Linked DNA regions of Bombyx mori. The protein of the gene in region 2 purifies or fractionates together with the protein of the main gene of each other region. This does not show direct contact. Links are inferred from orthologs where the notes say so. Each region holds a gene or a part of one and is shown on either strand. Other genes may lie near its edges.

Region 1 (3,500 bases), on a different chromosome or scaffold from region 2:
TCCTGGGTCGGTGTTCGCGCACGTCCATGATCCAGCCGACGTGGTGCTCCACGGGCGGGTTGAGGCTGTATCTGGTCTTGTGCTTCCTGCTGCAGCTGCAAATATAAATTCAGGGTATCCTTAATCACAGCACGGATGGTAGTGGTGGGGCGTAGTCTTGGGTGGTTTAAACGTCGACTTGTTCGTCGACTACTGATACCATGCACCCCACGCTTTTTTACAAAAAAATCATTTTTCCTTACACTATTTTTAATTCAAATTTATTAAAATTTATTTTCTATTTTTTAGTTGTATTTTCTATAAAAGCGTATTTTTTTGTTTTTTTTAAACTATTAAGTATTTATTTTTAATTTTTTAGTGGAATTTCAATATTTTCAATTATTTTTTTAATATTGAATTGTCATCGGTCCTTAATAAGTATACCAAATTTCGAGTTAACACGACGTTTTGAAGGGGGTCAAAATCATGTTGAAAGATTCCGTTACAAACATACATATGAGTCGACTATTATCAAAGCCGGCAATCTGACTTTTGGACAATGATTGGTAAATCAGAAAAACGAATTATTGACTTTGTATTCCATTGGCAGTCACAAAACTCTTCGGAACGACATCTTAGATAAATAACAGGTTAACTATTAACCTTTATTTAATGCAGGTTTTGAACCGTATTCTTTGAAGGAGACGATTATATTCAAATCAATCTGTATTGACATATCAATAATTTTTTTTTGTCCAAATGCACAGATTGCCACCTTTGATAATAGACGACTCATATGTCTGAAGCTAATAAAAGCGTGTTAAAAATAAATGTAATATTGGCATGTTTACTGACATGACATCGGTAGCGTGTGGGTCCTTGCTGGCCGCGTAGAAGCGCGCGGTTCGCCGGGGACGAGACGCCTTGCCGCCACCGGCCGGCTGCTGATCCACCTGCGAAAACAATTTAATACTAGTGTCTTGTCGTAATGCGACGCGTTCTGTATACATGATCTTGAGTAGCTTGTCGTGGCGTGTCGTGACGCGACGTGTTCTGTTAAACTTTAATCTCGTAAACATTGTTATTTCTTTAAGTGTATTAAATGGATCCCCGAACGCGATCAAATTCTTCGTGATTTTTTTAACAGGGTAAGACTAATGCATTATAATTAATAAATATTGCCAATATTATATTAGGGGTTAAAGTATGAAATTGTCGATTTGTACCGCAAAATTGAAATTTGTTTTTTTTTTTTGTTCATTCAACATATTATTTATTTAATCAAAATATCTATCATTATTATCTATACATTGCTGCCATTGAATAGGAAGGTCATTTATGCCTTTGCGATAGAACTCTAGTGATCTAAATTCTAAAAAGTGTGTGAAAGCATTTTGTACTGCCTCCAGGGAAGAAAGCTTTTTATCACGTAGAAAATTTTCCAAATCACGAAAAAAAGGGTAGTCCGTTTCAATTTTGCATGGCAATTTCATACTTTAACCCCTATTATTTGACCATTTCATAGAATAGTATTACATATTTAAAAGTTTTTCTAAAAAAATTTACTCTAAAGATTGCAATTTCGGCTAAAGGTAGCAAGGCAGCGGCTTGGTTCTGCCCCTGGCATTGCTGAAGTCCATATGCGACGGTAATCAGTCACCATCAGATGGGCCGTATGCTCGTCGGCCTACAAGGGCAATAAAAAAAAAGAAGGCGTAAACCATTTGCTGGTAAGCCGTATTATCCGATCCGACCATGTGTACCTGGTGGTGGGGGTGCGCGGGGGGCGGCGGGGGGCGGGCGGGGTTCCTATGCCGCTCGTTTGGCACGGCTGCCTCGAACTGCTCACGGCTGATCAGGCTCACAGTGCGGTACTCACGGCCGCTACCGTACGACTGTAACAATTGTACTCATTAATAATTCAACCCTTTTTTCTCTACTTATGCTGATAGCCTTGGGAGACTATATCAGCTTCTCCTTGACGAGTAGGTGAGCTCACGGGGCTCTAATCAGGAGTGTTACCAACACTGGCCCTAGCAAGAGCCGTGCTTCGGCAAATCTACCATCGGATATATTGTCTTTCGAGTTGAACCCGGTCACCGTCCTCGTCGAACCCGTCGCTTGCGACGAAGGGCTCGACGAGTAAATGAACCCACAGACACAGCCCACTGAGTTTCTCGCCGGATCTTCTCAGTGGGTCGCGTTTCCGATCCGGTGGTAGATTCTGCGAAGCACTACTCTTGTTAGGGTTAGTGTTAGCTGCGTCGTCAGGTTAGAGCCCCGTAAGCTCACCTACTCGTTCGCTGACGCTGGCATAACTCCTTAGATTACACCAGCTTAGGTACAAAAAAAAATCATGAATCAAATCCAACACTCACTGAAGTATATTCTGTGTCGTTCCACAGGTCCTCTTCGTAACGACGCAGTCCGTCGGTAATGACCTGTTTAAAAATAATAATTATGAATATGTTAAAAAAAACAAAAGTACCCTCTTTTTAACTATAAAGTATCACCGGCTCGGTGGAAGATCTTTCCTATTGTCGTTTTAGCCTCCCACACTTACATACTACATAATCACTACATAGTATAAAATAAAGTGGCTTTCTCTGTCCCTATATCTGTCTGTCTCTATGTATGCTTAAATCTTTAAAACTACGCAACGGATTTTGATGCGGTTTTTTTTAATAGATAGAGTGATTGAAAAGGAAGGTTTATATGTATAATAACATCCATTAAATAGTGGAGAAATCAATAATAAATTACAGTTTCCGAAGCGAAGCGAGGGCGGGTCGCTAGTTTTTTTTAAACTTAAAGACGGAGATCAGCCCCGGCACCCACCTGCTCGAGGTCCTGCGTGATCTTGGTGCGGCTGGTCCAGTCCCCCTGGCGGTCGTGTCCGTCGTGCTTGGCGGCACGCGTCGTCTGCGTCACGATCAGCAGCCGCCCCACATCGCCGTCCGTGAACTCCGCGTCCGACTCCTCGTCGGACCTGCGCACGCGCGTCACGTCACATTACCGACTACGGCCTTGTTCCATTGCGCGCTTTTGTATAGAACATTCTATATGCGATACTATGGTTACGCCGGTAAGAGTAGCGCCGTCTATCGCCGAATAGCCGAACGAATATCGAAGGATCTAGTAGCATTTAGAATGCTCGAGAAGTACAACGCCATCTATTGTCAGATCGAGGAAACACACACCGAAAATACTCGACTTGTGAGGATTGTTCTCGATAACTCTAGGGATGTCGTCTCGACTATAAAAGCCGTGCAGAGACGGCACGCAGTCAGTCAGTAACTATTCGAAGCGAAACAGCGAAGGGATCACCTGAAGCGAATTAAGAGTGTTCTAAGTGCTTATTTATCCCGAACCCCAGCACGTAACACTATAATATTTGAAATACTATTTGCCCTCCGACAACAGGCAGTGGGAGCTCGTGTAGATCCATTTACACAGCATCAGACCAGCATATGAGAACACAGATACGATAACCTTCTTATCGTGACCTTTTCAAGTCTAGG
Region 2 (3,500 bases):
ATTCAATGGACGCGTTGTTACGTTTTGAGTTAATTTTCTGGCGGATTGTCGAAGTAATCGATCTTGGGTTCGGCCGCCGTCTGCTTGGGCTGACTGCGCGACGCCCAGGCGTTCGATGACGTCAGCGTCGCCCAACCGCCTGGCGACCTTCGGACAAGAAAAGCATTGTCATCATCTAGAAATTTCTATATATCAGTGTTTCACTTAAACTGGTGTTTGTATAGTCAACATTATTACAATACATTTTAATTATAGAATTATAGGTAAGTGAACGACTTTTAAATTTATCTTTTTCTTTGTGTACTGTAAAATTTTGAAATGCTTATAATTTTATTGGGTTGTAAAAAAAAATGTTCAGGATCATTAGCTTTATCCGAACTTCAGAGGCATGGGGTTGGATGTCAATTGTTTCAGTTTTTCAATTTGTATTTGTTCCAAATAATTGGTAGAGATCCAGGCTTCCAGGAAAAGACAAAACACTATATACATAAATGATTATTATCGGCGGAAGACTTGAATTTTCCAGTGACCATGGCGTTTTTCTATATCGACAACTCACTGAATTCATAAGCCGTGATAGGAATCCGTTCAATAATATCATTTGTATTGACGGTATGTACATACATAACTCAATACGTTGACGCGCCGTGCGTCGTCATTGTGGTATCTAATTATTTTATTATATTCTTGTATAGCAGCGCACTTAGCAAAATGTACTCGTTAACACGCTACCATTTGTATTTAGCTAACATAATGTTACGCTGGTAAGCGTAACGCCATCTATCGCCGAATAGTCGAGAATTACAACGCTATCTATGGTCAGATAGCATGAACTACGACTAGAGATGTGTGGAATATTCTCGATGATTCTAGCGATGAGGTACCGGCTATAAAAGCGTTGTAGGGATGGCACGCAGTGTGTTGAAGTGATTAAGTGTTTTAAGTGTTGAATACAGTTTTTAAGTTGTACTTTGGTGAAATTTTATTTATCCCGAACCTCAGCGCGTCACAATAATAAAGTTGCTCAAACAACATACTCTTTTGGAACTTTAAAAACTTCCCCTTGGACCCCAACAGTATTGTTTAATAGTTACTTGTTAGCGGCGGAGGAGGAGGTCGTCGAGGCTGAAGAGGCGGCGGAGGAGTGCGCGGTCCGCAGCACGGGGCCGGGCACGCGCCGCCGGCCCGCCTCACGCGACAACACTTCCATTATGCTCATCGCCGGCAACCACGACTGTCAACACAACGATCAAATATCACACACTGTATTACCTTGTTACACTACCCGACTCTAAAGAGCAATGTACGAAATTCTTCCTTCTCCACGTTTTTTTGTGGTTTAGATGGACGAGCTCACGGCCCACCTGTTGTTAAGTAGTTACCGGAGCCCATAGACATACAAATACAAAGCAAATGCCGCCACCCACCTTGAGATGTGAGTTCTAAGGTCTTAGTATAGTTACAACGGCTGCCCCACCCTTCAAACCGAAACGCATTACTGCAGAAATAGACAAGACGGTGGTACCTACCCGTGCGGCCTTACACGGCCGTGCGGTCTATGGGCTCCAGCAACTACTTAACACCAGGTGGGCTGTGAGCTCGTCCACACAACTAAGCAATAAAAAAAAAACTTCACGACTTATGTATCGTGTCAGCTACCACCGACAAATTTAGTACACAAGGGATTTCGGGGGCGATAAATCGATCTAGCTACGATTTATTTTCAGAAAATGTTGTTTTATTCGTGTTTTCAATAATCAACTTTATCGATAATCAACTTTATGACTGTTCCCGACATCTATTGGCGAATAATAATACTATTTTTCATAATTGAGAGCAACTAACTGCTTTAAAGACACAATAACACTAAAGCTATTTCAGCAGATGGCGTTGTTAAGTCACCCGAAGCCACTTAAAAATGCCTAAACGATCTTGGAATTTTTATGTAATTCGTATTTAAATATAATTTCTAAAAAACACAATTTATCAAACAAAAAAAAAAAAACGAGCAAAGTTTGGTCATCGTCTCGTAAGGTAATAATTGCAGTGGTAAGGCACCTTCTCCTTGTCGGCAGTGGCCACCACGTTCCTGTTGGGCTCCGCGTCGTAGGCCACGCTCTCGCAGCCGAAGTGCTCGCACAGCTCGTGGATGAACTGCCGCTTCTGTCTGTTCATCGACGGGAAAGAGTGCGAGCGCGTCTTCTGTTTCGACTGGGGGGAAAATTGATAACAATTTTAAAATTCGAACGTAATAGATTGGGTGCGATTTTTTTATTTATTACTAGCTGACCCGGCAGACTTCGTAGTGCCTCAATCGATAAATAAAAGACACAAACAAAAGGAAACCGTCCGACGGGGGGACATCAATGGGAAAACAAAATTGTTATTTTTAATGAATTCCGAGCATTTTCATATTTATCTACCTTTTAAACCTTCTCTGGACTTTCACAAATCATTCAAGACCAAAATTAGCTAAATCGGTCCAGCCGTTCTCGAGGTTTAGCGACTAACGAACTGCAATTCATTTTTATATATATAGATTACTATAGTAGAATTATTTTGTCCGTGCAGTTTGGGTCATAAAAAATCGGAGCGGTGAAGCGAGTATTTCGCTCTCTCTTCCACTCATGAGTCTTATGGACGGGCATAGTGATGCGCATTATTGTTGACGATAAGCGTTATCGATAGTGTATTTAGTTTTATCATTTTGTGGGTTAGTGATAAAAATGAAAGAAAAAATCACTACTCGAACACTTACACCACATATCGCCGCAGAAAGTTAACGAGAACGGCAGAAATTAACATTTTGTAGCTTTTCGGGATCTATTTTTATTTCAGTGAAAATTTTTAACACTATGTTGATAATAACACGTGCAAATACTATTTTAAATAAATTTTGCCGTTTTGATACAAAACAAAGAGTGACCATTGTGTCACTAAAGAAATTCAGAGAACGAATGCATAAAAACACATTTCTCTTCGACATAATGTACTATAATTTGCAGGTAAGTACAAATGACTCATAACATAACAATGTCTCACCACCCTTCGTATACCACCCCACCGCCGTGTAAGGTGCCCTCGATGACTCATTTGTTTTTATTCATAATGGCGTTGCGCCCGCGCAATATGCTCACTGCCCTAGCCGGGCTATGTTTTATGATCCAAGCTGCACGGACAAAATAATTCTACTATAGTATTATATATATTTTGTTTAAAGGGGCCTGTACGAGTCATGTACCGTACATGGCACGCGCGCATTCACATCAGCACTTTTACATCGCTTTACTCGAATCGTAGTATAAAGCGCCAGTACAGATTCAGCACTTTTTGTGCCGTGAAGCAGTAATGCGTTTCGGTTTGAAGGGTGGGGCAGCCGTTGTAACTATACTGAGATCTTAGAACTTATATCTCAAGGTGGGTGGCGCATTTACGTTGTAGATATCAATGGGCTCCAGTAACCACTTAACACCAGGTGGGCTGTGAGCTCGTCCACCCAT

Evidence for each region.
Region 1: the proteins of protein shuttle craft (region 2) and la-related protein 1 purify together in Homo sapiens (affinity purification with mass spectrometry, with the first as the bait; 3 studies listed by BioGRID). This does not show direct contact. The link is inferred for Bombyx mori from reciprocal best matches to the Homo sapiens genes NFX1 and LARP1.

Annotation. Positions count from the first base shown.
Region 1 is NC_085117.1:2,878,319-2,881,818, forward strand, and holds part of la-related protein 1, read right to left. Parts: intron 2,969-3,500; coding exon 2,818-2,968; intron 2,421-2,817; coding exon 2,358-2,420; intron 1,875-2,357; coding exon 1,743-1,874; intron 933-1,742; coding exon 835-932; intron 96-834; coding exon 1-95. UniProt on the Homo sapiens protein: RNA-binding protein that regulates the translation of specific target mRNA species downstream of the mTORC1 complex, in function of growth signals and nutrient availability.
Region 2 is NC_085123.1:3,121,750-3,125,249, forward strand, and holds part of protein shuttle craft, read right to left. Parts: intron 2,212-3,500; coding exon 2,059-2,211; intron 1,235-2,058; coding exon 1,095-1,234; intron 148-1,094; coding exon 30-147; 3' UTR 1-29. UniProt on the Homo sapiens protein: Binds to the X-box motif of MHC class II genes and represses their expression. May play an important role in regulating the duration of an inflammatory response by limiting the period in which MHC class II molecules are induced by interferon-gamma.